4 linked regions of the Pelodiscus sinensis genome follow. The protein of the gene in region 4 interacts with the protein of the main gene of each other region in a biochemical or structural test. Links are inferred from orthologs where the notes say so. Each region holds a gene or a part of one and is shown on either strand. Other genes may lie near its edges.

Region 1 (7,734 bases), on a different chromosome or scaffold from region 4:
CAGGGCCAAGGAAAGTGGTCTAGGGGACATAGGACTAGGGGGATCAGTGGGGAACACATTAGAGAGGAACTCATTGGAGAAGAAAGGGCCTGGGGAACACAGGCCTTGGGACTCAGAGGGAGCTGGTGGGGAACGGGTTTGGGGTCACAGGATTGAGGGGGTTTCAGACGGGTCTGGAGGGGAAAGGGATTTGGAGGGCACAGATTTGGGGGATTCAGAGGGGACTGGAGGGAAAGGGGTCTGAGGGCATAGAACTGGGGGGGAGGGCTCAGAGAAGGCTGGAAGGCCCAGAGGGGGCTGGTGGGGAAGGAGTCTGTGGTTACAGAATTATGAGGGCTCAGAGGGGGCTGGAGGGCTCAGAATAGGATGGAGGGGGAGAGGTCTGGGGGCACAGAACTGGGGGGACTCAGAGGGAGCTGGAGGGAAGTGGTCTGGGGGGCACAGGACTGGGGGGCTTGATGGGGCTAGAGTAGAGGGGGTCCAAGGCATACAAGACTGGGGATGGGACAAAGGACCCAGAGGGGGGACAGCATGTGTGGTGCCTCTAATGATCCCCAGGGCCATGCCAGCCGGTGGTGGGAGTGTCTTGCTCCTTCCTGCCTTGGCTTTAGACATTGATTTGCTCTGGTTCTCCACCGGGAGCAGGGCTCCTTCTTATGGTCCCTACAAAACCCTCTCCCAGTGCACAAAAACTCCCCCCCCATTGGTGTTCAGCACCACCCTCTGCAGCAGGGAAAGCTGAGTCTCCCTCAGTCCAGCAGCCAGAGAAGGGACAGAACAAGAAAGAGTTAACAGCAGAGCAGCTTCCTCCCTCCTCCATCTGACCATGTGACTGCGCCACTAGCACCTCCCTCTTGCCGCGATGGGGCTACATAGTTGGAAACTCCTACTCTAAGGCAGAGCTGGGGTGGGGGTGGGGGAATCCTGACTCACAGCCCCCCTCCAGCCAGCAGGCTTCCTTCCTTTCCTGCCTCCTCTCCCCAGCCTCTAGGTTTCCTTCTGTCCCCCCTCTTTGGCTTTCCCTCCAGCCTGCTGACTGTCTTCTGCTGCCCGCTCCAGCCCTTGAGGTGCCTTTTGCTGCAAGGACCATTCTCTCCATGGCCGTCATAAATCATCCACGGCAAACACTCCAGAGCCCAGCCCCTGGTTCCTGAGGAAGCCCCAACAAATCAGGAGAACAACGAACTACTGGCTGGCCAGCCTGCAATTGATCCCCCAGGGAACCTAGGACTAGTTCCTTTGCGATCTGCTTTTCCCCAGTTCCCTTCAATTTTGATTGGAAGGTGTTTCTGCTGGACAGCAACCTTGCCCCTGTTGGCAGCTGAGTGGCGCAGTCTCCTGCCCCCATATTGCACATTCTTTGCTCCCTTGGAAGCCACAAGGGATGAGGGACCATATTTTTCTGCACCTCCTGGCTGCTATGGGGCATTCCTTATCCCTGGCATCAACCCCAGGACTCAGGGGTTTGAGACAGGAGTAGAAAGCCAAAGTAACCTCCTTCCAAGCAGGTCAGGCTGGCTCAACAAGCCCTAGCTGCTATTAAACACAGGCTGCTCTGAGTCAACACTCTTGGGTCCAAGCTCTGGCTCTCCCTTTGCCTCTAGGTTTGCAAACCATGGCCCTGGGGAATAATGGGACCCAGTGAGTAGGGCACTGGGTTGGAACTCAGGATGCTTGGGAATTGTTCCCAGCTCTGCCACTGACCTTGGGGAAAGGGCCTTCTCGTCTCTGGGCCTGCATATCTCCCCCCAACCTTTGTTTAGATTTTAAGCTCTTAGGGGCCCACGCTGCCTTTCCTATAGTGCTGTGATTTCAGCTGGGGGGGAGGTTGTGTCTATGCAGCCTATGGCACAATGGAGACCCTGATCTTGGTCAGTTTGTGAAGCCACAACACAATGGGGTCTTGATCTTGGTCCAGACGATCGTGGATACACAGAACAACAATAAAGCTGCACAAAGTAGTTCCCCACTGCGTGATTCTGGACGGACATTCAAGAGCGGCATGAAGCTCTGTTCATGACTGGGGCCCTCCAGTGGTAGGCTGAAAATTTTGCTTGGTGTGCTACATATGCAATCTGGCTAGGGATCCCTGGGGAACTGGCCTCATCAGCAGTCCCTCCTTGCTGATGTAGTGCTGTGTGCCAAGCTGCTAAGCAGAGAGGCAGTGTGTAGCTCTGCTGCAGTGTGCAATGTGTCATGGTGTGTTTGAACACAACAGTTTTGATAATCCTCCTGGTGTTGCACTGCACTGGAGGCCTGACTTGCTTCTTTGCTAGCTCACTATGCCCTAGCTCTCTGACTGGAATCTCTACCTCTTTACAGGATATTTGGTTCTGGGGGAAGATCAACAGAGACCCAGATTTGGGAACAATTCACAAATGCAAGCATCAGCCAGTCCCACTTGGTGGTGCTAATGTTGGCTACATGATATATGAGCATCCTCTAGTACAGTGTTTCTCAAACTGTGGTTGCATGGACCAGCATTAGACTTGCTGGGAACCAGGGCTGAAGCTGAAGCACATGCTCCACCCCACCCAGGACAGTGGGGCTTGGACTGTGGACCCCTTTCCTCCCACCCAGGGTGGTGGGATTCAGGCTCCAACCTCTCCCCCCCGGATCATGCATTAACTTTATTGTCAGAAGGGGGCTTGTGATGCAATAAGAACCCCTGCTCTAGTGTGTATGTGGATGCAGAGATATTGCACAAGTGTGTGCATGTAGGTGTGAGTATGTGCATGCAGCTGAGACTCTGGGAAGGTATGTGGATGTGTTTGCACATCAACATTGCACAGGTGTGTGTAGGCAGCTGTGACTCAGGGTAGGAGTGCTTGAGTGTGTGCACATGGCTGTGCAAGCAGATGTGTATTTTTGTGTGTGCACAAATTTACATGAGCATGCATGCAACTATAGGTGTATGCATGCAGCTGCAGATGTGTCCATGTGCATGAAGCTATGGATGCATCTGCATGTCATTGTGGGTGGGTATCTGTAGCTGTTGGAGTATTCCCGTATGTCAGGGGTGGGGAACTTTTTTTGGGTCTGGTGCCATGTGACCCATAGAAAAATCAGTCAAGGGCCACACACAAAACACACACACTGAAGCGGCTGATTGAGGAGAAAGACACTCCCTACATTGCCCTTGCACACCAGAGCCTGGCGGGCCCAGCCTAGTAGATTTTGTGTTCTCCAGCCCTGTGGTTGGGCAGTGGAGGGAGAGGGGGCACTGGAGCACCAGCACAGGCTCCCCAGTGCAGGGGAGTCCCTGAATCTCGGAGTCCGGATCCGGGCAAGCCGGGGTCCACATCTGATCCCTGGGCCTGAGGTTCCCCACCCGTACTGTATGTGATTGCCACTATGGGCCTGTACCAATGTGAGTGTGCATGATTGTACATGCAGCAGTGAGCATCTGTGGATATGCAGATGTTTGTGTGTGCAGCCCAGCCAGGAAGTGTGTGAAAGAGGCAGTGGGGACCCAGATTGTCTGTGTGTGTGCACTGCATGCAGCTGTGGCCATGTGCAAGCCATGCGAGGGCTCCCCCTGCCAATTCCTGGAGCTCGTACACTCCGGCTCCGGCTAACTGGGGCGCTGCACGTCGTCAGCAGCAGTCAGCTCCCATCGCATCTCCAGGACGCTGCAGTGGGTGCTAAGCGCCAGCTGCGTCAGCCTTTGCTGCCGGCCGGCACCAACTGCAGTTCCACCGCTTCACAGCAGGTGGCGCCGCTAGCGCACATCAGCCCGTGGGGCTGGGTGACGAGGCTTGGCAGTAGCAACCGGGAGAAGGCGGGGTCTCGTCGCTTCGGAACGTCACTGCGCGCGCGGGGGAGGAGGGCGGTTGGGTAGCGCCAGCCCCCATGCACGGAAGAGACCACTGGGAGCGGGGGGGGGGAACCCTGTGCTGTAGGTGGGTGAGGCAGGGACGCGCGGGGGGAGGGGCGTTACGGGTGAGTCTTGCGTCTCCAGGGGGCGCATGAAGCGCAGGTGCAGATGGGAGTGCGAGTGCGAGGACCTCTCCGGCTGGGCACGGGCACTTGCAGGCCTAGGCCGTGTGTCTATGCAGCTGCACTTGCAGGTGTGTGTGTGACGCGCCCAGGTGTACACACACACTTGTGCATGTTTGCACGATGCGGTGTGTACGTGAGCGCATAGCGACTCAATCCGTTGTGTGCCGGGTGTGCATCCTTGTGCGCCCATTTACCCAAATGGCTGATTTAATCTTCCTCCTCTTTAGCCTGGCTCCCCTCCGCACGGGAGAATAAGCCCCCTCGGGGGCTCGCGCAAACCACATTTGCGGAAATAGCCGAGGCTAGTCGGCTCCTCCTGTTTTCGCCCCCGGGCTCGGTTATTCGCCTTGGAAAGGCGGAAAGAGTCGAAACCTCTTCGGCTTGTTCGTTGGTTTCCGGAAATTGCCGAAAAGAGCGTCAGCAAGGGGGCGGGGAATATTCCGGAAACTGCCGATCTTCAGCCTTCGGTTACTCTCGGGCGCTCATCCGGAAGTGTCCGATTGCTGTCCCGAAGGCGAACTTCGGGTTTATCCGGAAGGAGGCGAAGTGACCGATCGCGAAAGGGGCCGCGCCTGCTGTTTCGGATGTTTCCGGAAGGAGGCGCGAACTGGCGATGACAGGGAGGGTGAATCGAGAGTTTCCGTCAGACGGCGGAAGCTGCCGAGAAGGGGTTGGGGGCTGGGGTTTCCGGAACCGGCGGAAACTGGCTCCGACGAGCGGCTCGGATGTTTCCGGAAGGGGGCGGAAATGGCCGAAGGCCGGTGGCGGCGGCCATGTTGGGATCTGCTGCCGCTGCTGCTGTGTGAATGTGAGATGCGCTGAGGGGAGCCGGGTCTCGGGGCGGAGAAGGCGGCTCGGCCAGGGGCACTCGGCCTCCGGGTCTCCTCAGCCCCGGCTCTGTGCAGCCTTCGCTCACGCGTACGCCTGGCTGCCGGCGGCGCGGCCTGGTCCCTGCGCCTCATCCCCGGGTTCGCCTGAGCCGCCGGGCCGGGCTTCCCTCATCGCGGCCCGGCGGAGACCCATGTCCGAGTCCCGGCGGTTTCCGGCTCCCTGAATCCCCCCTCCCCCTTTGGGCTCCCCCATGGTGGTGGCCTGGCCGCCCCCCCCGGTGTGAGGAGAGCCCCAGGAACCGCCGGAGCCCCAGGAGCCGCTGGCCAAGGGGGCCCAAGATGTCGAGCAGCGGCCGGAGCCCCCTCCCCACCGTGAATGAGAGAGACACGGAACAGGTAGGGGGCTGGGGGGCCCCTAACCCGAGGGAGGGAGGGAGCGAGGCAGGGAGGGCGGGATGCCGTATTTTGCTGAGGGAAGGGAATGCAGGGGGGCAGGAGAGGGGTTCCCTGCTCCGGGTGGGGGGAGATAGAGCAAGCATTGACTATAGGGTGGGTAATACCCCATGCCCTGCAGCTCCCCATCCTGTGCTTCTAATGGTTAAGTGAGGGGTGGGAACCTCCTTCTTCATAGATCGATATGCATCCTTCTTGAGTCCTTAAGGGTCCATCTGGTCTTCCCTGTGATGGGGCATGTGGAGCAGGAAGGCAGGAGAGGAGATTCCTACAGAATCCCCTGTGTATGTATACGTATCTTCCACCTAGTAAGTCCCTTCATGCCTCCCAAACTCTGTGGTCTATAGTGTACCTACTGGAGATAGTGCAGATCAGGGAAGAGATTATATGTATTCCCACATACCCAGTACTTCATCACTAACTGCTGTCAATGGAGAATGAGATATTGAGACAAATAAGGGAGAGACTACTATGTATCTGCTCTGTGCACAGAGCTACAGATCCCCTGTGTATCTTCCCTCAAAGTGGATGCAGGGACACTTGGAACCCTGTAATGATTCCCTGGTGAAAGAGAGGCATGCGGCAGGATGATACAAATAAATATCTATATAGTTCTTATTCCCATAGGCTGAGTGGTCCATGCAGGAGTGGCTGTAATCCACTTCTGTGCATTAATGCTCCACTTTCAATCTCCCTGAAATGGGAAGAAGAGAGCAGTGGATTGATTTATTCCCTGTGGCATGCATGAGCAATTGGGAGCAGGGATCTTTTCCATCTTTCCTTCCCCTCCCATATATTAATTGCCTCATCAGCCCATGCTGAATGATGGGGGTTTTGAATGGGCAAGGGAAATGGCCCCCTGCTCTGCCTCTCTTTGCCTTTTCTGCTGCTCCATATCACATCAGGTCCTTCCTTGGCTTTCATAGTGAAGGAAGATCCCACTTCCATGCTCACTCATTATTCCCCTATGCCCTTATTAGGTTTACCTCTCAAGTGCCTCATTCATTTGCAGCTCAAGATGCCTGGTGACATGGTGGTGGTTTGCTTTTTCAGGGGTGCATTTGTGAGAGATGACAACTAGTGAGCAAATTGCATTCCCAACTGAATTTAAGAAACAGCTCATAAAGACACACAAATCTAACCTGTTTTAATCCTCATGACCCTTGTGAGTCGAGACCTGCTGTAGACATGAACTTCCCATAGTCAGTAATTTTTTTTTAGGTGATTTGTGGAGAAAAGAAGGGACTGGCTGTGCAGCCAGGATCTCTCTGGCTGTTGTGTTTAGCTGCATAAGGTAATCAAAACATGGTTTTGGACTTTATTTGTAAAGAGTATTTCACTTGCACTAACAGCCTTCCTTCCATGAAGTCTGATTCATTCTAAGTGGTTGATGCCATATGCTACTTAGTCTCCTCCTTATCTTTGTCCAAAGCAAAGGTATTTTAAAAATGGGCTTCACTCCCAGTCTTGAGATGGCTATGTAGTTTAGGGATGTTAAATATTGGTTAACTGAATAGTCAAGTAACCTCATGAATTCTTATTGATTACTCGACTATTCTATAGTCCTGGGGGGAGGCGGGGGGCAGGTGCCAAGTGGGTGCTGGTCTGTGAGGGGAACCAGTTTAAAAACCAACTTCTCTTGTGGACCAGCTGTTTGTTGCCCTGTGCTGCTGCCTCTAATATAGGGGAGGCAGCAGCCCCTGTCCATGGTGGGAAGAGGTCTGAGCTCCTGGACTCATTGTGAGCCAGAACTGAGCCAAGCTGCCTGCCCACCTACCTCCTAATAATACACTTTAAATGCAGAGCTACAGTGGGGGTAGGTCTCATACCTGTCACGAGCCAGGACTGAGACAGGCTGCTCACCATACTGCTAACAAATTTACTGCCCAGCGGAGGGAATGCATGTAGTCTGTAGCATTAACCTATAAGCTTTTTCTTATTGGTTAATCAACTACACTATTGCATCCCTAATGTGGTTGTATCCCCATTACTAATGAAGCTTGAGGAGGTGTGGAATTGTGTATGTACGCTTGTGTATTGTGTGGCTAAGAGGGCCCTAGCTGCCCTTTGACCACTAATGTATGCTTTATGTTGGTGAAGTTGGTCCTGGTTTCAAAACATGCCCTGGTGCTTCTTAGAATTAATAGAATTTTCTTCTCTGGTACCTTTAAACAAGCAGGAATACAGCTTCAGAATGGGGATCAGCTCCCTCTGTTTCTATTAACTGGTCTCATTTCATCTGGCGTTCTTAACAGTTTCTTCAAAATAACTAAATTTGGCTGACATTTAAGCACAATTGATCTAAAGCTGTTTCCATGATCTCTCTTCAGCTGCCTTAACTTTAAATTGCTAAAGCATAAAAATAAAGCTTCTGCTTCCCTTATCCCTGTATGAATGGCTGGATAATGAGAATTCAGATCTCAGACTGACACTTCAGACCGGCTGTCAA
Region 2 (7,787 bases), on a different chromosome or scaffold from region 4:
GTTATCCATTACCTTGTACATGTTAGTTCGAGCAAAACATCCCTATCCATTACGGTGTCATTCTGACCTTATCTTTAGCAGGGATCATTATGTTCTTGTTATCCTGGTGGAGGGGGTGGGAGGCAGCTGTTTTTATGGGATGTTCTAGTACCAGTTTTCTGGAATATGTTTGCCTGGAACATGTGAGTGTATAGTGTCTACCCTTTATGAGAATATGTATGTTTTTGCAATACCCATCCTGTTCTTTCCAGGTTCTGTGAGCTCAGAGCCCGTCGGTGTACAGTGCCTTGCACTCTCAGGCTGCAATCTGTTTCAGGTCTCTGTTAATTATTATTATTAAACATTTAGGTATTGTAGTGCTTGGAGGGAAATACATATTTCCTTTAGGTATAATCATAGGAAGAGATCCTTGACTTGAACCTGGGAAACTCTGATCTAAGATAAAATGTAGATATTTTCAGAGAAATTAAATATTTGGAAAATACTCCGAAGATAAGATCAGTTTTCTCTATTATTTCTTCATTTTATCTGCTCTCATTGTTTCTGCTGTAAATGGGGCCCAACCTTTGGCCATTATCTTTGAAAACTCGTGGAGATCGGGAGAGATCCTGGATGACTGGAAAAAGGCAAATGTAGTGACCATCTTTAAAAAAGGGAAGAAGGCCAATCCAGAGAATTACTGATCAGTCAGCTTTACCTCAGTCCCTGGAAATATCAAGGAGGGGATTCTCAAGGAATCCATTTTAAAGCACTTGGAAGAGGGGAAAGTGATCAGGAATAGTTAACATGGATTCACCAAGGGCAAGTCATGCCTGACCAATCTGATTAGCTTCTATCATGAGGTAACTGTCTCTGTGGATATGGAAAAATCGGTGGATGTGATCTACCTTGACTTTAGCAAAGCTTTTAATGTGGTCTCCCACAATATTCTTGCCAGCAAGTTAAGGGAGTATGGATTGGATAAATGGACTGTAAGATGGCTAGAAAGCTGACTAGACTGTTGGGCCCAACGGATAGTGATCAACGGCTCAATGTCAGGTTGGTGGTCAGTTTCTAGTGGAGTGCCCCAAGGATCAGTTATACGACTGATTTTGTTCAACATCTTTATTAATGACCTCGATGAGGGGATGGATTGCACCCTCAGCAAGTTTGTAGATGACACTAAGATAGGGGAAGAGGTAGATAAACTGGAGGGTAGGGATATGGTCCAGAGTGACCTAGACAGATTAGAGGATTGGGCCAAAAGAAATCTGATGAGGTTCAACAAGGACAAGTGTAGAGTCCTGCACTTGGGATGGAAGAGTCCCAAGCATTGTTACAGGCTGGGGACTGAATGGCTAAGTAGTAGTTCTGCAGAAAAGGACCTGGGGATTACAGTGGATGAGAAGCTGGATATGAGTCAACAGTGTGCTCCTGTAGGCAAGAAGGCTAATGGCATAATAGGTTGCATTAGGAGGAGCATTGCCAGCAGATCTAGAGAAGTGATTATTCCCCTTTATTCGGCTCGGGTGAGGCCACATCTGGAGTATTGTGTCCAGTTCTGGGCCCCCCACTATAGAAAGGATGTGGACGCATTGGAGAGGGTCCAGGGGAGGGTAACCAAAATGATTGGGGGGGCTGGAGCACATGACCTATGAGGAGAGACTGAGGGATTTGGCTTTGTTTAGTCTGCAGAACAGACGAGTGAAGGGGGATTTGATAGCAGCCTTCAACTTCCTGAAGGGAGGTTCCAAAGAGGATGGAGAAAGCCTGTTCACAGTAGTGACGGATGGCAGAACAAGGAGCAATGGTCTCAAGTTACAGTGGGGAAGTTCTAGGTTGGATATTAGAAAAAAACTATTTCACTAGGAGGGTGGTGAAGCACTGGAATGGGTTACTTAGGAAGGTGGTGGAATCTCCATCCCTAGAGGTTTTTAAATCTCGGCTTGACAAAGCCCTGGCTGGGATGATTTAGTTGGGATTGGTCCTGCCTTGGGCAGGGGGTGGACTTGATGACCTCCTGAGGTCTCTTCCAGCTCTATGATTCTATGATTCTATTTATTCCTTACCTAGAAAATTCCCACTGAAATTTAAAGTAAATAAGGATACATATGGTCATGAGCTAGGGCCCATTTTACGTGTGCATGTTTTATATATAATACATTTACATGACTCAAACCTCATTATTCTCTGATTCTTGGCAGTTCTAGTCTTTGATGGGACCCTGTTTCATTTTTTCCATCTATGTAGCAATGAAGGCTAGTTCTCCCTTTCTTCCAGTGACTTTTACAGATCTCTGGAGGCCAGGAGGAGGTGCCATTACCATGCTCAGTAACCAATAATCTAATGACCACGAGCAAGTGCTCTGAAGTCTGAAGTTTGGGAGTTTTTGTTTTGTGTAACCTTAAATTTAGTGTTAATTTTAATATCTCTGTGTGTAAATACATATCTATCATATATACTTTATAACTTTTTTTATATATGTAATGTTAGCAAAGCTTCCAAGAAAGTAGAAGATAGGATACACAAAGAACAAGTTAAAAATCACTTAGGAAAGTTAGATGTCAGCAAGTCACCAGGTTCTGATGAAATGCATCCCAGGATACTCAAGGAGCTGATAGAGGAGGTATCTGAGCCTTTAGCTATGATTTTTGAAAAATCATGGAAGACAGGGGAGATTCCAGAAGACTGGAAAAGGGCAAATATTGTGCCCATCTATAAAAAGGGGAATAAGAACAACCCAGGAAACTATAGACCGGTCAGTTTAACGTCTGTCCCAGGGAAGATAATGGAGCAGGTAATTAAGGAAATCATATGCAAACACTTGGAAGGTAATAAAGCGATAGGGAATAGCCAGCATGGGTTTGTGAAGAACAAGTCATGCCAAACTAATCTGATAGCTTTCTTTGATAGGATAACAAGCCTTGTGGATAAGGGAGAAGCGGTGGATGTCCTATACCTAGACTTTAGTAAGGCATTTGATACGGTCTCGCATGATATTCTTATTGATAAACTAGGCAAATATAACTTAGATAGGGCCACGATAAGGTGGGTGCATAATTGGCTGGATAACCGTAGTCAGAGAATTGTTGTTAACAGTGCTAAATCCTGCTGGAAAGGGATAACAAGTGGAGTTCCGCAAGGGTCTGTTTTGGGACCCATACTGTTCAATATCTTCATCAATGATGTAGATATTGGGATAGAGAGTACGCTTATTAAGTTTGCAGATGATACCAAACTGGGTGGGGTTGCAACTTCTTTGGAGGATAGGGGCATAATTCAAAATGACCTTAGCAAGTTAGAGAAATGGTCAGAGGTAAACAGGATGAAGTTTAATAAAGAGAAATGCATGTGCTCTACTTAGGAAGGAACAATCAGTTCCATACATACTAGATGGGAAGCGACTGTCTAGGAAGGAGCATGGAGGAAAGGGATCTAGGGGTCATAGTGGACCACAAGTTGAATATGAGTCAACAGTGTGATGCTGTTGCAAAAAAAGCAAATATGATTCTAGGTTGTATCAACAGGTGTGTTGTAAGCAAAACTCATGAAGTCATTCTGCCGCTCTACTCTGCACTAGTTAGGCCTCAGCTGGAGTACTGTGTCCAGTTCTGGGCGCCACATTTCAAGAAAGATGTGGAGAAATTGGAAAGGGTACAGAGAAGGGCGACAAGAATGATTAAAGGTCTGGAGAACATGACCTATGAAGCCAGACTTCATGAACTGGGCTTGTTTAGTTTGGAAAAAAGAAGATTAAGGGGGGACATGATAGCGGTTTTCAAATATCTAAAAGGGTGTCACAAGGAGGAAGGAGAAAATTTGTTCCTCGTGGTTTCTGAGGACAGGACAAGGAGTAATGGGCTTAAAGTGCAGCAAGGGAGGTTTAGATTGGACATTAGGAAAAAATTCCTAACTGTCAGGGTGGTCAAATATTGGAATAAATTGCCAAGGGAGGTGGTGGAATCTCCCTCTCTGGAGATATTTAAGAATAGGTTAGATAGACATCTGTCAGGCATGGTGTAGATGGAGCTTGGTCCTGCTTTGAGGGCGGGGGGCTGGACTCGATGACCTCTCAAGGTCCCTTCCAGTCCTATGATTCTATGATTCTCAACAGCTCTCAATGCTGGCCTAACTTTAGAAGGAGCAGAGATAGGCAGATACCTAACACTTGAAAATTATGCCCTCAGTGTATACTCTTTTTCACCATTCATATTTGATTGTCAGAACAGGTCTGCTTTTGCTTTCTTTATAACAATGGCAAAATGACTTCACTGGCAACTGGTTGGGCTCTAAATTGCCACCTGATAGTAGAAAACTACTGCAACAATGCAAATGGTGTAACCATTAATTGGTTCCTTAATCTGAATATGGGACAGTCTTTTAAAGATTTATCAGGAACAGTTTAAATGTCAACAAAATCTGAAAATCAATAAATGGCTTAACCCAGTATGTATATTGGTTCTTAGTAATTAAATTTTGTTTCGGACTTTTTGTTTTGTAGCTTTTATCTGTGTGGCAGCATAGTATTTTCCAAACAACCTTAATAATTACAGTTTAAATTAGAATTTGGCTTGAGAACATGTAAGCAACTCTGGGAATAACTATTTCAAACAATAAAAAAGTTTAAAAGTTATTTTATTAGATAAATGCAACTAATAAAGAAAAAAAACATGCTTTAGAATGCCTTCAACAATTCTGAGTGTTTTTAAAGACATCAAGAGGAGGGGAGTGTGTTAGTCTGTCATCCCATGGAGAAGCCTTATCTATACTTCCTCTCCCTTCCTTTCTCTTTTCCTCCATTTCATAAGGTTGTGAGCCATGACAGTTGTGTGGTGCTGTTGATACTAAAAGAGGAGTCTTTCATTTACATGTTTAACACTTCAGTTTTTCAGAAATTGAAAATATTTTCAAGTTTATATGCTGTTTTGAAATTCTATCCTAGATGGACATAAATAAAAGGGAGCAGGTTTGATAGCACATGCATCCTCTTCTTTGTGAATCCTACTGGAGTTGTGTTGAGGACTGTGACGGGGCTAACCTGCCCCGCACTGAGCAGGAGGGAGAGGAGCCCGTTTATTGGGTAGAGCATGCCCCTCCCCCACAGTCCTACTGGGCATGCTCGAAGTGCAGCCTCACTATAAAAGACTGCTGGGCTGCTCAGCTGGAGCAGACCGCCGGGGAGGAAGGAGCTCCGGCCCAAGCTACAGGCCTGCCGCCGGACCTGCCACCAGATTCAGAGCCGGAGGGATCGCCGCTATTGCTACTACCATCCCCGGGGCGTGCATGCCCCCAATGCCGACGCCGGGGGGCCGCCCGCCCCGCTGCAGGAGACACCCCCTGTGCTGCTGCCCCAGAGACGGGACCAGCTGACGTTGCCGCCGCCACCAGCCCAGCATCACCAGGTGGGACCTCCGTTGGCCACAAGGCTGGGGTAGGAAGCAACCCAGGGCAAGGGACAGGGAAGGCCCCGGTGGGCTCAGCACGTTTCAGGGAAACCCCTCCTCCCCCCGCTGAGCCAGTGGTGGGAACCACCCACCACCATTAGGGCCCTGGGTTGGGGTCCGGTGGAGATGGAGGGCCCGGACCCCCCTACCCCAACCCCTCAGGGTGTGGACTAGGCCTCTGGCCTGTTGCGGGGGCTGGACTAGGCCTCAGGGCCTGCTGGGACTGTGGACTAGGCCTCCGGGCCCATTGCGGCTACTAGACTAGGCCTCCGGGCCGATAGCTAGCTCTTTAATCACGGGGAGAAAGGAAAGGGGTGGGGAGGACCCCGCCACAAGGACCAAAACACATGATTCACAGTTGTTAGGTGGGCCTCTTAAGTGGGGTATAAATTTACCAAACTTAAAAAAATCTTTCCTCACTTCTATTCTCTTATTTCTTACCTTTCTCCTCTCCTTTTCCTCATTTAATTATATTTCTTAGGCAGATGTGGTATTACACCAGGGCTGGGCAATAATTTTTTGCTGGGGGCCACTTCAAAGATTTTTGAAGTGGCCATGGGCTGTGCCAGAAAGGGTGGGGCTAGGATGCTTCAAGGCTTCCCCACCCACAGACTATGATTGGTCTGGGGGTGTGGGAGCTTCTTTGCCCCCCCTTTCCTCTAAGCACCTATGCCTCTGGTGGTGGGAGACTTCCTGTGCTCCCTCACCTCCAGGCCAATCAGGGCCTGGGGCTGGGGGAGCATGCAAAGCCTCCTCCTGCCCTTCCAAGAGCACTTCTCACAAGGCGGGGGCAGGGCAGAGGAAACTTAGGTGCTGGGAGGAGACTTCCCGTGCTCCCCCACCCCCAGGCTAATCATGGTCTGTGGGTGGAGAAACCTGGAAGCATCCTGGCCCCACCCCTTCCATTTGAGGCCCCACCCCTTCTCAGCCTTCCTGGCAGGGCAAAGGAAACTTTGCATGCTTCCCCCTGTTCCCAGACCCTAATTGACCTGGGGGTGGGGAAGCGGCAGGGCCTCCATGGGCTGGATCAACTCACTTGGCGGGCCGGATTCAGCCTGCAGAGGCTCTTTTGCCCACCCCTGTACTATAGCCTTTGGGCTTTTAAACTGTTCTGACATGGTGAACTAAGGCCATATAAAACCAGAAATTTCTTTCAGTTCAGAACTCTGGTTGATACATCTTTGGGATTCTGTCTAGTTCTCTTCCTTCTCTCAACTCTCCCAAGAACTCTAAGATGGGAAAAAGTGCTGAGTTCACCAGCAGCTCGACTGTCAGGCTCCTTCCTTCCCCTACTACCGGTTACCAGGTGTCCGGTATTCACCCGGACAGTCCAGTATTTTTACCTCCAGTCCAGTAAAAAAAATTCAGAGAATACCGGACACCTAAAATGTTCTGTATTTTCTGATTTATTTTCCCTGGCCAGGAGGCGAAAATGCTGGGCACCTGGCAACCCTACAAACACTCAGCGCCCAGCCTCCCCTTCCCCTTGCCCGCCCCCTGGCTCCCAGCACCCCAAGCCCCTCGACCCCAGCTCCCATGCTTACCTGGTTCCACAAAATGGCTGCCAACCAAGGGGAAGTTTCCCCTGGGTCTCAGTGCTCAACAGCTCCCCTGTTCCCAGTGGTTTTTTTTGGGGGGGGGGGGTGGCGGGGGGTGTTCGGTATTTTTGTTTCAACCATCTGGCAACCCTACCTACTACCTGTGGCTAGGCTGGCGCCATGGGAAAACCTGAGTCCCTCTAGAACAGGGCACTGGCCAGGAAGAGCCAAGCCATGCATGTGCCAAAGCTCTAAAAGTTGCTGTCACGAGGAAGCTTTTCAGACCCTTAATTAAGTTCTGGAGTGGTGGGAGAAGAATTTTCCAGCTGTAAACGTGTCCCCCCGTACCCCCATGCGAGGCAGGGGGTTTTACGTTCGTTCACCCAGTTCCATCCCCTAACCCCCGGGTCCAGTCCCCTAATGATCGTCCCACCAGAGTCCCAGTTAATTGTGCTACTAGTTTCTTAGGTCCTTTTGTAATATAGGTTGGTTTGCCTCCTGGATGGGGAGAGGGGGGTCCAGGCCTGCTCCCTCTCACGGACCCCAGCCCAGGGCCCTAAGGTCTTGGACGTCCAGCTTGTCCGGTCCGGCTGGCGGGGCTTTAGCCGAAACGCGCCAGCCCGCAGGCCCCATTGGCCCGTCCTGGGCTGCTTCCTCTCCCCACCTAGGGTTGGCCCGCCGAGGCGGGGCTCACCTCCTCGATTTGGGGCTCATCCGTCGTCCTCTCACGGGGGGAGACGCTCTCGGTACTCCCTCCTTCTCACACTCCCAGCCGGGGTTTAAATCCCCGCGCCGCGGCCTGTCGGCGGGGCCCCGCCCAGTGGCG
Region 3 (7,276 bases), on a different chromosome or scaffold from region 4:
TGACAAAATGGGACTGGGCCTGAGCCCTGAAAGGTTTAGTGTCCCCCACCACTGGCTGGGAGCTGTGTGGGACCGACCCCCTGAAGCAGCTGGGAGCTCTAGGGCCCCCCCATCCCTTCCCCTAAACTGCTGTCCCGCCTCTTCCCACCCCTGCTCAGCCTCTACCCCCATTCCACCCTCAATCCTCCTTCCCTGAGCAATTTGACCTGGCACTGGCAGCAGGGGTCAGGCCTGCCCCATACTCCCGGCAACAAGCAGAGGGACCTGGCTCCAGCCTGCTCCATTCTCCAGGTTCACAGCCACGTCACTTGCGGAAAGGCCCTAGCCTACCCCACCCCACCCCACCAGCTCCCTGCTGTGTTGCTTCACTTCCCACAGCCACCAGGTACACCTCCTCCTTATGTCCATCCAACAAACGTACTCACGCAGTGGGGAAAGATTGTACACCCAGGGACACATTGCACGAGGACAGGGTCCCATCCAAGAGTGGGAGACTATAACATTGGCTCACATCAGCATCTGGAACAGCCTGAGTCAAATGGGACTGTCATTGGGGTTCCTTGCAGGGTTACCAGTAGCTTGATGGGGCCTTTTCTTCTTGCCCTGGAACCCACAGGCAGTGCTTGGCTGTAACTGTAGTCCATGAACAAGCAGTCGAGATGGAAATGTCTTTCCCATCCACACTCATAATATTTTCCCAGGGTCATTCCCACTGGGAATGGGTTGACGGGTTGCCATCTAATCAGCATTCTCTCTGCCTTCAACAGGCCAAGTTGATAGATCATTTTCCCTGGCTCGTGAAGATCGGTAACTCATTCTAGCTATTGGCTTGGATTCCCAGGGTTCTTGGTCCTTTGACCTTGTGCCTCCAGCCCCTCAGCCTCCAAGTAGTCCTCTATCAAGGAGACTGCTCCTGTAAGTGAGGTTGAATAATGTTGCCTCATTCATTCTTTTCCTATGGTGGAGAGAATCTGAATGAACTGCACCATCATCGCTACCTGTGCCACTTGGGTCCCCTCAGCTTCTCTGGCTCCAGCCAGCACCAGAGCTTTTGGGCCACAGACCTTGGCCTAGTTCTTGGGGTGCTATCACTCCCGCCAAAGTCATTGCTGGTATGTTTCAGGGTTGATGCCCATTGAGTCAAGTATGGCCACTTTGACCAATGGGAGCTGACAAATTGTGCTGCACTGCCCCCCCACCTCCCAACGGCTAGGGATCAGCTAGCCAATACCAGTGCACCTTGTCACAGTGCTACATTAACAATACATGCCTTGTCATCATCAATACAACATCCTAGGTGGGCTCCTGACATTGGGAAGGGTATTGTACAAGTACTTCCTGGGGGGCTCCCTAAGCACTGAAGCTGGTTGCAGAGCCTGTGGGAGCCTAGGGCTGACCCCATCAACAGACCTATTCCCCAACCTTAACTCTGTTCCCAAGGGAGATTTCCTAGGCCTGCAGATGTCCTGGCCAGCTCCTCCATGAGCCTTCGGTGTACAGACAGCTTGGATTGGCAATTGAAGCTCCTCTCAGGCACTGCGTGGCCCTGTAAGGGCCTCTCTCCCATTTGATCCCTCTGGTGCATGGTCAAGATGGACAGGATGGTGAGGTTCTTCTTCCATATGATACACTTTTAGAGCTGCTTCCTGCTATACATTCCTTGGTGCATGATCAGACTAGAGAGCTTGTGATGCTGCTGGTACATGAAGCAAGGTCTCGTGCACAATGAGGTAGGACTGCCGCTAAAGCATTTCTGGCACTGGGCACACCATCAGGGCCTCTCTCCTATGTGGATTCACATGTGCAGGTTGAGTTTTGATACTTTTCAAACTGATACGGTCTCTGGCCACAGTTCGTTTATTGATGGGTCCTGAGCTAAGACAATGTGTTGAAGCTGCTCGCACACAACTTGTACAGGGGGAGCTCTCACCCACATGGATGCACATGTTCACAGTGAGATTCTTCTGCTATCAGAAGCTCTCCTTACATTGTGTGTTCCTGTAGCTCATCACTGGCTGGGTAGAGTTGGGAAGCACCAGTTCCTCCCGCAGGCAAAACAGCAAAGGAGATTCCAGACATATTGCTCCCTTTTGGGTTCGGCGTGGTCATGTATCCTACATGCAGTTAATCTCTGGCTTTCGTTCCAGGAGTCACCATCTAGAATGGGTGGAGGGGAAGCCAAAGGTGGTTTGCATTGCACATCACCACACCGAAAGCCCCCAATGTGCTTCTCTGATTGAGGGGCGCCATTCTCAACACCCTATTACAGTATTGTCATCCTCAAATGGTTAAAAATGTGCAAAACCCAGAAGAGTAAGTAAAGTAAAATGTGGGCTCTTTTTATTCCACTGTTTTTGCCCTTAGTTAAGCACTTCAGTCACATTTTGAATCTTTTCTCTGTAATCAGGAGGTCTAACAATCCATTTGGTTGTTTCATGAGAGTGGAGCTAAAAGCTAGGCATTATTATTCTTAGTCTCACTTGATCACATGCCTCCAGTAGCCCAGGCTTTGAAGAAAAACTTCAAAGGTTTCGTTAGTCTTTAAAGTGCTACTAGACCATTGTTGTTTGTTTAAGTTTTTCCTGTTACAGACTAACTCGGATACCCTTCTGAAGCTTTGGAAGGTTGTGACACTTGTGGGAACTGCCCCACGGTGTGGCTTTAAGTGGCTTGTGGCTTCGGCACTCCTGCTATAAAAACTATTCCGGTGCCACTGGACTTGGGCTAAAACCGCAGGATTTGGGAACGGTGCTCTTAAAACCAGGCGGAAACGTTGCCCCATAAAAACGTCCTCGGGGGGGGGGGGGTTCCCACGCCTGTTTCTCGGTGATTTCCGTGCCACGGATGCTGAGGTGATGAGGATCTGCGGATGCTGAGGTGATGAGGATCTGCGGATGCTGAGGTGACAAGGATCTGCGGATGCTGAGGTGATGAGGATCTGCGGATGCTGAGGGGATGAGGCGAAGGATCTGCGAATGCAGAGGTGACAAGGATCTGCGGATGCTGAGGTGATGAGGATCTGCGGATGCTGAGGTGACAAGGCGAAGGATCTGTGGATGCTGAGGTGACAAGGATCTGCGGATGCAGAGGTGACAAGGATCTGCGGATGCAGAGGTGACAAGGATCTGCGGATGCTGAGGTGATGAGGATCTGCGGATGCTGAGGGGATGAGGCGAAGGATCTGCGGATGCTGAGGTGACAAGGATCTGCGGATGCTGAGGTGATGAGGATCTGCGGATGCTGAGGTGACAAGGCAAAGGATCTGCGGATGCTGAGGTGACGAGGATCTGCGGATGCTGAGGTGACGAGGTGAAGGATCTGCGGATGCTGAGGTGACAAGGCAAAGGATCTGCGGATGCTGAGGTGATGAGGATCTGCGGATGCTGAGGTGACGAGGCGAAGGACCTGCGGATGCTGAGGTGACGAGGATCTGCGGATGCTGAGGTGATGAGGCGAAGGATCTGCGGATGCTGAGGTGACGAGGATCTGCGGATGCTGAGGTGATGAGGCGAAGGATCTGCGGATGCTGAGGTGATGAGGATCTGCGGATGCTGAGGTGACGAGGTGAAGGATCTGCGGATGCTGAGGTGACGAGGCGAAGGACCTGCGGAGCCAGCCGCCGACGTCCCCCCGGGATCCGAGAGTCAAGCTGGTTCTTTCCCACCCGGAGCAGGGTCTCTAGACAGAGAGGTCCTAGGAGCTGAGCTACCAGTTACCAGCCATGCTTGTGCTGCCCAAATGGCATGTGATTACACCCATGGCCTCCTCATGCATCCCCACCCCCTCCCAGTGTTGCCCTCAGCGATGGCTCCTGATCCTGAGCTGCTGAGGTGAGGTTACTAGAGACTACACATCCCAGCATGCAACGCTCCCCATTGAGCCGAAGGATCCAGGGATCCAGCTGGAGCGTTGCATGCTGGGATTTGTAGTGCCACTGGCGCGCCTAGGAGGGCGGTGGCTGTGAGTGTCAACGAAAAAACCCGCCGGCGCCCAACGGGCTCATCGGCAATTCTACTGGTCAGGTCTCCTGTCACACAATGCAGGGGCGGGAGGAAGGAATCTTTGGCGGGTTTCAATTGGCTTTCCCGCTTGCCGTCCCTTCTGTTCTATTGGCCAGCCCCGCTCTGTGGGCGGAGGAAAGACGAAGGCCAATGTCTTGGTCATTCCACGAGGGGAGGGGGCGGGAAAGGAAAAGCGTCCGGTTTGTGATTGGTCGCGAGGCGCCGCTGCTCTTTTTTCACCCCCTCCCCGCCCCAGAGTGGCGGTCCCTCAGAGAGGTGGGCGGGGCGCGGCCAGACGGCTTCTGATTGGCGGGCCCGCGTTTGGCGCCAGCTTCGGGTGTCCGCGGGGAGCTCGCGCGCGCGCGCTGTGCGGCTGACGGGAGGGCCCGGGCGCGGGGGTCGCCGCCGACAGCAGGAGCCGCCCGCCCGCCGCATGGATCCCGGCCCCGGCCCCGGCCCGCCGGGCCCCCACCGCCGCCGCCTCCTCCTGCCGCAGCTGCCGGCCGCCGGGCCCGGCGTGGCCAAGTCCCTGTTCCCCGCCGAGCTCTCCCCGGTCTCCGGCCTCAGCCGCACCATGAAGCAGCTGCAAGGGCTCGGCTACAGGTGGGACCGGCCCGCCCCCTGCAGCCCCCACATCCCCCCCCCCGTCTCCGCACTTCCCCCCTCCCCCACACTGCCCCACGTGACACCCGCTCTTCGCCCCCCCCCCCCCCCCCGTCAGCTGCCGGAATCCCGCAGGGGCGTTTTCTCCCTCCCCACGTGTGGCTCCCAGAGCGCCCCCCCCCAGCCTGGAACCTGCCCCCCCCACTAACCTCATCCCGCCTGCAGGGGCCCCCCCCCCCACTAACCTCATCCCGCCTGCAGGGCCCCCCCCCCCCACTAACCTCATCCCGCCTGCAGGGCCCCCCCCCCCCACTAACCTCATCCCGCCTGCAGGGCCCCCCCCCCCCACTAACCTCATCCCGCCTGCAGGGCCCCCCCCCCCCCCACTAACCTCATCCCGCCTGCAGGGCGCCCCCCCCCACTAACCTCATCCCGCCTGCAGGGCGCCCCCCCCCCCCACTAACCTCATCCCGCCTGCAGGGCCCCCCCCCCCACTAACCTCATCCCGCCTGCAGGGGCCCCCCCCCCCTAACCTCATCCCGCCTGCAGGGCGCCCCCCCCCACTAACCTCATCCCGCCTGCAGGGCGCCCCCCCACTAACCTCATCCCGCCTGCAGGGCCACCCCCCCCCACTAACCTCATCCCGCCTGCAGGGCCCCCCCCCCCCACTAACCTCATCCCGCCTGCAGGGCGCCCCCCCCCCACTAACCTCATCCCGCCTGCAGGGCGCCCCCCCCCCACTAACCTCATCCCGCCTGCAGGGCGCCCCCCCCCCCACTAACCTCATCCCGCCTGCAGGGCCCCCCCCCCACTAACCTCATCCCGCCTGCAGGGGCCCCCCCCCACTAACCTCATCCCGCCTGCAGGGCGCCCCCCCACTAACCTCATCCCGCCTGCAGGGCGCCCCCCCACTAACCTCATCCCGCCTGCAGGGCCACCCCCCCCCACTAACCTCATCCCGCCTGCAGGGCGCCCCCCCACTAACCTCATCCCGCCTGCAGGGCCCCCCCCCCCCCACTAACCTCATCCCGCCTGCAGGGCCCCCCCCCCCCCACTAACCTCATCCCGCCTGCAGGGCGCCCCCCCCCCCCACTAACCTCATCCCGCCTGCAGGGCGCCCCCCCCCCACTAACCTCATCCCGCCTGCAGGGCGCCCCCCCCCCCCCACTAACCTCATCCCGCCTGCAGGGCGCCCCCCCCCACTAACCTCATCCCGCCTGCAGGGCGCCCCCCCCCCCCACTAACCTCATCCCGCCTGCAGGGCGCCCCCCCCCCACTAACCTCATCCCGCCTGCAGGGCGCCCCCCCCCCCCCCACTAACCTCATCCCGCCTGCAGGGCGCGCCCCCCCCACTAACCTCATCCCGCCTGCAGGGCGCGCCCCCCCCCACTAACCTCATCCCGCCTGCAGGGCCCTCCCCCCCCCACTAACCTCATCCCGCCTGCAGGGCCCCCCCCCCCCCACTAACCTCATCCCGCCTGCAGGGGCCCCCCCCCCCACTAACCTCATCCCGCCTGCAGGGCCCCCCCCCCCCCGCACTAACCTCATCCCGCCTGCAGGGCCCCCCCCCCCCCCGCACTAACCTCATCCCGCCTGCAGGGCCCCCCCCCCCCCACTAACCTCATCCCGCCTGCAGGGGCCCCCCCCCCCCACTAACCTCATCCCGCCTGCAGGGGCCCCCCCCCCCACTAACCTCATCCCGCCTGCAGGGCCCCCCCCCCACTAACCTCATCCCGCCTGCAGGGCCCCCCCCGCAGCCCTAACGCATCCCCAGCCATGCGGCCCCCCCAAAAACCCACTTGTGCCTGTGGCCTCGCCCCCTCAGCTTCCATAGCCCCCAGGACCTCGCCCCTACAGCGGCTTCACGCCGGCTCGCCCAGACTTCACCCCGCAGCCTCCTTGTAATTGCCTCCGTGGGGCCCCCATCACTCCACCCCTATAACCTTTCTGGTACCAGGCTCCCTAGTTCCTTGGCGCCTGTCCCCTTCCTCTGTATCTGGCTCTCTGGGCTCCAGTCCTGCAGCCTTCCAGACTTCTTGGGCCTGCACTTCTCCTTCGGATGGCTCTCATGACTCTTCCCCCTGCATTCCTAATCTCTGCAGCTCCTGTGAATCCTGGTCTGTCCAGCTCTACAACATATGGCCCCCCATAACCTCACCCATGTAACCACCTTGGCCCCTTTGTTGTTTTTCTCCAGCCCGTTACTCCACCTATATAACCTTTACTTCCACTATATATAGTTCCCCTGAGCTCATTCCTGCAACCTCATGGCTCCCTGGTACTGGTCTGTTTAGTGCACCCTTTCAACACAGCCCACATGGTGCCACATATGATCTCAATATTATTCCTAGTTGCTGCCACATACCTTATGCATGAGTCCCCATGACCTTGTCCGGAGACAGCTATGTGTGCTGTGTTCATTATGGGTACTCAAAATTTCAATTTGCAGGACTGTTAAACTGGCACGTTTTTGCATTGTCCACTACTTAAACTGATCAATTCTGTTCCGAATGGAGCTCATCTACAGTGTTTCTACATTTTAAACCTATTGTGACACTTTCTGGCTGAAACATTGAGTAAAATAACTCTGTTTTTAATCTTTATAGTCAGCATGAAAACTCTCTGCTAATGCTGGAAATGAGGAACAGTAGCAATCTACAAAGAACAGACTC
Region 4 (7,405 bases):
GGTGTCCCCATCCAGTTCCCTCGTTTTAACCCTTTGACCCTCACACCCGTACCTGTTTTTTCATTATTTGTCCCCAGTAATTAGTTGGTTTTTCCAGATTCAGTGGACCCTCCCCTCAGGATGGGGGGAGGTCCTTTAGATGTGGGCGGGCTAATGCCCGCCCACCTCCTGGATACCAAATAGTACCAACTGCTCCAAGAAGCAGTAATTTAAGGTATCAAGAAATTTTAGCTCTCCATCCCATCCTGAGGTGATGTGTACTCAGTCAATACGGGGATAGTTGAAATCCCCCACTAATATTGAGGTTTTTTATTTTGATAGCCTCTCTAATCCCTTTGAATTAAGGATGTTAAAATGTGGTTAATTGACTAATTTTCCATTGACTAGTCAATAGGCACTTGTACATTTCAAAGGAAGAATGAGGAACTCCGCATAGAGTCCGGTGCCAGCAGGAAGTCCCGCTGACTCCGGGCTGCATGTGGGTGCCTGCTTTGAAATGCACAAGAGTCCCCAGCAGTCTTGTGCATTTCAAAGCCATGGAGCCTGGGGTCAGCTGGGGACTAAGAGTCCCCCGCTGATCCCGGGCTCCATGCTACACTGAATGCTCCTAGGAGTTCTGAGTGGCACTCCCCTGAAACCTGGGGTCAGCTGGGGACTCCCCAGCTGACCCTAGGCTCCCGACAGCATTTCCCTGGTACCCGGGATCAACTGGGGAGCCCTCAGCAGACGCTGGGTTCCACTGTTGCGGGGAGCCCGGCGTCAGCTGGGAGTCCTCAACTGATCCCAGGTTCTGGGGAAGTGCCACATGGAGCTGTGCAGTGGGTTCCCCTTTGAAACTGCCCCCTCCACCCATTTTACAAGGGCAGTGGAGCCCAGGGTCAGCTGAGGACTCCCCAGCTGACCCCCAGCTTTGTGCTGCACTTCCCCGGAACCTGAGATCAGCTGGGGAGTCCTGCCTGCGCAATGCCTGTGCCCTGAGCACTAGCTCCACACTCCCATTGGCTAAGAACCTGCTGCCAGCAGCTTCTGAGGCACAGCATGGTCTATGGTGTCAGTCGAGGCAGGAAGCCTGCCTTAACACCCCTGGCTGCACAGCTGACGGGAAGCTACTCAAGATAATCCCCTCCTATCTCGGCCCTAATCCCCCAAAGCCAGAGCCCCCTTCTCCTACACCCAAAAGCTCTCTTCCTCAGTCCCACCCCAGAGGCCACGCTTTAGTCAAATTATGTTGGGTTGCAGGCATCAATAATTTTCTTCAAATGGGTCACAAGGAAAATAGTTTGAAAACCACTGGACTATATGACCTCCTGAGATCTTCCAACCCTAATTTTCTATTATTCAGTTTTCAGGTTGATTTACGGTGAAATTTAGTCTTGAGAATACAAAGGAATAGATTGCAGTAGCAAGGTTTGCAACCAAAAGAAACAATTATATTCCCCTGCCCTGTTGGTGACTGAAGAGAGTTTTCTTGATCACTGGTCTATATGACCCATTAAACAACAGCTGGGGATACCACAGACTGCAAACTTTTATTACACTGGGCTAGCTTAAACCTGCCAATTAAGGGTCAGAAATAACCCTTGCCATATCTTCCAGTTCTTTCAGCATTGTGTCAGTGAGCTTCATACAACTAGCTCTTCTCCATGATTCAGACTCAAGTAGGCACTGAATAGGGTTCATCAGCAGAAGCTCAACTGGGATATGTCTATACTATGGGATAAGGTTGAATTAAGATATGCAACTTCAGCTATGTTAATTGCGTAGCTGAAGTCAAAGTACTTTAATTGAACTTCTGGTGCTGTCCACACTGCAGGAAGGTGAAGGGAGAACACTCTCCCTTTGACTTCTCTTACTTCTTGTGAAAGCAGGGATCACCCAATGAAATTAACAGACAGCAGATTTAAACAAACAGAAGTCCTAACCACACACTAAATAAAGAATCTCAGCCACTAATACCTTCATCTTCATGGTCCCCATGAAATCCTGGATTAATATAGAGAGCTCATCATCCAAGATTGATGTTTAAGTTACTGAGAAATGTCATCCTTGGAGATCCCAAAACCATTGTGGTAAGAAACTATATTAGGTCATGCAGGAACTTTGCAATGCAGCAGGATGATCTGCCTATTAGAATAAGTCCCAGAACTCTCACAAGTGTGCATTTAAAAAGTCTCAGAAGTGTAGCCATATCAGTCTGTAACTTTAAAAACAACAAGTAGTCCTGTAGCAGAATCATGAGTCTCTAAGGTGCAACAGGACTACTCATTTTTAAAGTATGCATTTAATTCAGCTTTGAGGTACAACTCCTGCATTTCAGATTAGCTATAAAAAACATAACCACAATACTTCTTCCTCCTCTTAGGCTCAAGCGGCCTGTACTCAGTGCCTGTCTAAAATCAACTATGCCAAAACTGGTCCAGCGGGATCATTCAATCTGTATTTAAGAATTGCATGCAAGACTGTTGGGGAGGGGTCACCTTTAATTAAATCATGGCCAGATGACACTTTAATAAACATTTATCTTACATATAACAGCATGTATGATCATAAGATTGGAATATTTGTCCACTGATATTGCCAACCTCTAGATGAAACCAATGGAAGAGACTGAACAATTTCTTGTTTAAACCAGGATTTCTTCCTGCCTTGTCTCCCCTGTCCATTAACACAAGGATCGAAGAATCCTAAACTTTCCAACCAAGCCCTTCATACCAAGCCTTTTTATCCACAATACAGAGCAGTTGTTCTACCTTCTTGGACACCTTCAAGGGACATAGCAGCCAAATCTGGTTGCCAGGAAAAAGATTTCCAGGGCTGGCTGCAAAACTTATTTTCTAGTCAGCAGAGAGAAAATAACCCTTCCCTGCTTCTGAGGCTCTTGCCTTTACATGAAAAATTACCAAACTTCTTCCAAACACCATCATTAGGTAAAGAAACGAGGACAAATTTATACCATCCCTTTTCCTACCTTTTTTCTCCCTGTCCCCCTTCCTCTCACTCCTACTCCAGACTAACCGCTCCAAAAAGACATAACTCCTTCCATCATAAATGTCTAACTCTTGGAAAAGGAGGAGTTCTTGTCTGCATCATCAACTGCATATTTTTACTGCTGAGGAATCAAAGATTGGTGACATGGCCTGAAATCAAGGAAAACTCAATCCACATTTTTTTGTTTTGTCATATGAATCTTTCACTTCCATCGAAGGAAAAAGGCAAACTTATCCACTCAAGTCTACACCCTTCTACAAATACCCCCTCATCAACTATTCCCAAATACACAAAAGAGGAAAAAAAGCCTTTAAAAAGTGCTCAGTCATTTCTCAAGATATGCTGACCATCATGAAAACCCAGGATAGACACAGACTATTATTGAAGGGGAGGAGAAAAATAATTTTGAATGTTAACTCCTTTTCATTCCCTCATAGCTCCCACCCATTTACCAATCAGCAACACACAATCATTTTCCACACCTCCCAATATCCATCTATTATTTCCCCAAGCACACCCCAACCAAACTAGTCCAGCATCACCCACCTATTCCCCATAAATTTTCCTGTAGTAATACCATCCACCACCCTATCCATCCCAGAATCCACTAATCCTTACAACCCACCTTCAACAGCTCACTGGTCTTTCATTATCCACTGCCATAGCCACATCCTTTTGAACCCCCAGTAGCTACTTTCACAGCACCCTAAACTTCAGTGGCACTTAACTAACCTTCATACTCACCTTTCAGTAATATAGCTCACAGCACGTCCCACCACCTCTATCCCCCCTCCTGCCGCCCCCACCCCTCCATCAGAGTAAGGATGTTAAGGGCTACTCGATTAGTCGCTCTTCCCCCTTGCTGCCTCTATCAGATAGAGGCAGGCAGCAAAGAGGGGGGGAAAGGGGAGGGGTGGGGCAGCGCCGCATGGAGCCCGCACCGACCCCATCAATCCCCAGTGATCCCTCAGCGTCCATTCTGCACCTCCCCTCTAGCAGTGCACGCTCCCTCCCTACAACGCCCGCCCTCCATCGCCCCGCGCTGCCACCCGCTCTCCGAACCCGGAGTCCCCCTCTGCCCCGCCCAGCCGCAGCAGCACGAGCCGCCCAGCCGCACCTCCGCACTGTCTCGTGCCGCGCCCAGACTAAGCTTCCAGTGCTAGGGCAGGGCGTGGAAGGGAGGAGGGGGGGGGGTGTAGCAGTATTACCATAGTTACAGTGACGTTAGCTCACCCTGGATCTAATTGGAGGAAACCCCGTGGCCCCAGCCGCAGCCCACGGACCAACCGAGCTTGCGCCCTGATTGTGCCCACCCCCGCGACGGCGCGCTACGTCTGGATTGGCTAATCGCACGCGAAGGGCGGGTCCCGGCTAGGAGCAGGCGTTCGGATTGGCCGTAGGAGCGCGGGTCTAGCAGCGGGTAGGGTTGCCTGTGCCAACGCCCTTTAGCGCTGGCTCTCGCCTGAGATAGGAGCGGCTCTTTCTCCTCGCCCCAGCCCCGAGCGGAGCGCACCCGATCCAGCGGCGTGAGCCGGCCCGGCCTTGCGGAACGGACCCAGGTGAGCGGGACCGAGATCGGCCACGGGAATGAGAAAGGTCGCCGCGTCCTCCATTTTGTGAGCGCGGCGCGGAGTCTCCGGCGGCGCCGGGAAGCGGGAGATGCCGCCAGCGCCGCCGCCATTTCGCACCCGGCGGCGCCCCGGGACGCAGCGCTTTCCCCTGGGCACGGGCCACGCCCTGCCCTGCAGAGAGCTGCCGAGCGCCGTTCTCCCCGGCAGAACGGCCGGGCCCGGCCTAAGGCGTGGAGCTGCCTCTCCCCCGCCCGCTCCGGGCTCAGCCTGCAGACCCCACCCACCCGGGCTGAGCGAGTCCTGCCCGCCGCACCACCCAAGGGGATGGGACTCCGGCGTCCCCGCCCTCCCCCGAGGGATCGAGACTCGCCGCCCTGCCGGGGAGGTTCGGGCAGTGGTTTCCCAGTGCTGCCTCTTCCCCGGCCTTGCGCTGGGGACGCGGATCCCTGTGAGCGCCCGGCCTGCTCCCGCGCCGCCTCCTTCGCCAAGGGACAAAGATTCCCCTATTGTGTCTCCTTATCTCGGGGCACCCCCCCATCTCTGCCAGCAGCGGGGGCCCCGCTTGCCCCGCGGGAGCATGAACTGCCATGCCGTCCTCGGATCCTCTTGTTCCGGGGCCATTGTGTCCCCAGACGCGCGCTAGATACCTGTCTTCTCCTTCCCGTGTCCTCTGGGGCAGTCTCATCCTGTTCGTCCTCCTGTCTCTGCCCTTCGGTCGGTGGTTATTCTACTAGCCCCATTCCCCACGGTACCCATGTTTAAGGCAAATCTCTCTGAAACAAGGCGTAGAGGGAAGCGTTTAGGCAGGGCTCCTGGAGATAGCCCCTTTAGGTTAATGGCTTCCAGCCGTCTATTTCTTCTCCTCCCCCTCTAATTTTTTTTAGTATTCCCGGGCTGCAAGCCTGGCTAGTGCACACAGGAGTGAGAGGGAGGAAAGTGGAGGTGGAAACAAAAGCCACTCTGAAGAGACTGGAGTGCCTTTTCCCACCATCTGCTCTGTAGATTGTGCTCCAGTGGGGAGGGATTGAGTTATCTTTTCCCCTGTCATGGTTTCTGGGTTATTAACCTTCTGTAGAGACCCTGGAGCACTTGTCCTGTGACCAGTTCCCTGTGAAATGGGCTGGCTATATAAGCCTAAGGTTCTTCATTCCAAGATAGCTTTTGAGGTGGTGTAGTGGTGGAGATCCTTTATGGTCTGTGATTCTTGATTAATAGAATGATGATTGGCTTGATGTCTTCTGAGTCTTGGAGAAGGACAGAGTGTGGTGTCCTGTAGTTTTTGGCTCCCAGAGTCATGGCTAATCTGTTTCCCCTCTGGCAGGTTTTGAGGTGCCTTCTCCTTTTGACAGTGTGACAGCATCAGCTTCTCCTTCTGCCTTGCTGCCCTTTCCCCACTGCCAGCCACCATGGAGAAGACCGAGATGATCCAGAAAGCCAAGCTGGCTGAACAGGCCGAACGCTATGATGATATGGCTACCTGCATGAAGGCAGTAACCGAACAGGGTGCAGAGTTATCCAATGAGGAACGCAATCTGCTCTCGGTAGCCTACAAGAACGTAGTGGGGGGACGGCGCTCTGCCTGGAGGGTCATCTCTAGCATTGAGCAGAAAACAGACACCAATGACAAGAAGATGCAGCTTGTCAAGGACTATCGGGAGAAGGTAGAGTCTGAGCTCCGATCCATCTGCACCACTGTGCTGGTGAGTGGGGGATCTGGGGATACATCTTGCAGTCCTTTGGAAGTGACATATAAAGCATCTGTTCTTAGCTCTGTTGAGATACATAGGTTTGGGTGTGGGAGATCTGTGTGCAACACTCTGCTGGGGTGTGGGATAAGCCATTGCACCACTCTACTGAGGGAAGCAGGGATAGTTAGTTGTAATGAAGTGTGGGAAAGGAGGATGCAGTGAGAGGGAAGATCAATATGGATCACTCCTGTAATTATGGGGGCTACGGAAGGATTTGAGCTCGAGATTGTGTGCACCATTGTGTAAGTACAGCAGATAGTTGAGCATAACAGGGTTGGAAGGAAAAACAAGGATGCTTCTTCCTTTTGTGGTTCCTGGTTAATAACGCTTTTGTAACCATCCAGGTTAACCAGTGTAATATCTGAATGACCGGCTTTGGAGTGCTCATTTGGGTGGTGGTCACAAAATTCTGTTACCTTAGGTCAAGAGGAGATTTGTATAACATGAATAATTTCATAAGAGGTCTTGAAGTAAAAATATACTGTATAAAATATAAAACCTTAAGAGTCAAGTATTAAATCTGTAGAAAAGCAGGCATTCGGCACTTGCAAATATACTTCTCAGACTGCCTATTACAATAGAGATGCAATGGTTGTAGAATAATGCAAAACTACCAATGATTTAAGCTTGAAAGAAGTACTGCAGATGAATATATAATAGTACAGCAATGTTTGTATTTTTTTTACTGTACCCTAGTCATCTAGATGATCATAATAGTACAAATATGCTGCAATACAGTGGGTGCTGAATCTGTGTCAGCCGTGAAGAATATGCAGCACCCTATTCCAGAGGATCAATTAAAGTTCTGGCTGCAGAAAGTTAGATGTGCAATACAGCTGGAAGCAATAAATAATCTTGAATTACTTTATCACCAGTATAATGATAAAACAGCATTTCAGGTGGTATCTTAGGAAGAGGTGATAGCAAGTTCATAAAATAAATGTGTTTCAGATTTATCCAGGTGATCAGGAGACTAGTTGTCTTTTTCAGTAGTTATTGAGAAGCAAATTCAAGCCAAGAATTCTAACTCATTTGACAAGGGGGGGGGACATCTTTCTGGGTTGTGTGGAGATACACATTCCAATATATGCTGCCACC

The links.
Region 1: the proteins of YWHAQ (region 4) and MARK2 form a complex in vitro, tested with the Homo sapiens proteins (2 studies listed by BioGRID, with this or other methods). The link is inferred for Pelodiscus sinensis from reciprocal best matches to the Homo sapiens genes YWHAQ and MARK2.
Region 2: the proteins of YWHAQ (region 4) and PRKD1 form a complex in vitro, tested with the Homo sapiens proteins (2 studies listed by BioGRID). The link is inferred for Pelodiscus sinensis from reciprocal best matches to the Homo sapiens genes YWHAQ and PRKD1.
Region 3: the proteins of YWHAQ (region 4) and CDC25A form a complex in vitro, tested with the Homo sapiens proteins (2 studies listed by BioGRID, with this or other methods). The link is inferred for Pelodiscus sinensis from reciprocal best matches to the Homo sapiens genes YWHAQ and CDC25A.

Annotation. Positions count from the first base shown.
Region 1 is NC_134721.1:33,913,448-33,921,181, reverse strand, and holds the start of MARK2 (serine/threonine-protein kinase MARK2), read left to right. Parts: upstream 1-4,722; 5' UTR 4,723-5,171; coding exon 5,172-5,228; intron 5,229-7,734. UniProt on the Homo sapiens protein: Serine/threonine-protein kinase. Involved in cell polarity and microtubule dynamics regulation. Phosphorylates CRTC2/TORC2, DCX, HDAC7, KIF13B, MAP2, MAP4 and RAB11FIP2. Phosphorylates the microtubule-associated protein MAPT/TAU.
Region 2 is NC_134714.1:52,189,607-52,197,393, forward strand, and holds the start of PRKD1 (serine/threonine-protein kinase D1), read left to right. Parts: upstream 1-4,780; 5' UTR 4,781-4,957; coding exon 4,958-5,381; intron 5,382-7,787.
Region 3 is NC_134712.1:257,276,563-257,283,838, reverse strand, and holds the start of CDC25A (M-phase inducer phosphatase 1), read left to right. Parts: upstream 1-4,271; 5' UTR 4,272-4,434; coding exon 4,435-4,604; intron 4,605-7,210; coding exon 7,211-7,276. UniProt on the Homo sapiens protein: Tyrosine protein phosphatase which functions as a dosage-dependent inducer of mitotic progression. Directly dephosphorylates CDK1 and stimulates its kinase activity. Also dephosphorylates CDK2 in complex with cyclin-E, in vitro.
Region 4 is NC_134713.1:27,905,031-27,912,435, forward strand, and holds the start of YWHAQ (14-3-3 protein theta), read left to right. Parts: upstream 1-4,391; 5' UTR 4,392-4,547; intron 4,548-5,880; 5' UTR 5,881-5,965; coding exon 5,966-6,259; intron 6,260-6,265; exon of another isoform or gene 6,266-7,405. UniProt on the Homo sapiens protein: Adapter protein implicated in the regulation of a large spectrum of both general and specialized signaling pathways. Binds to a large number of partners, usually by recognition of a phosphoserine or phosphothreonine motif.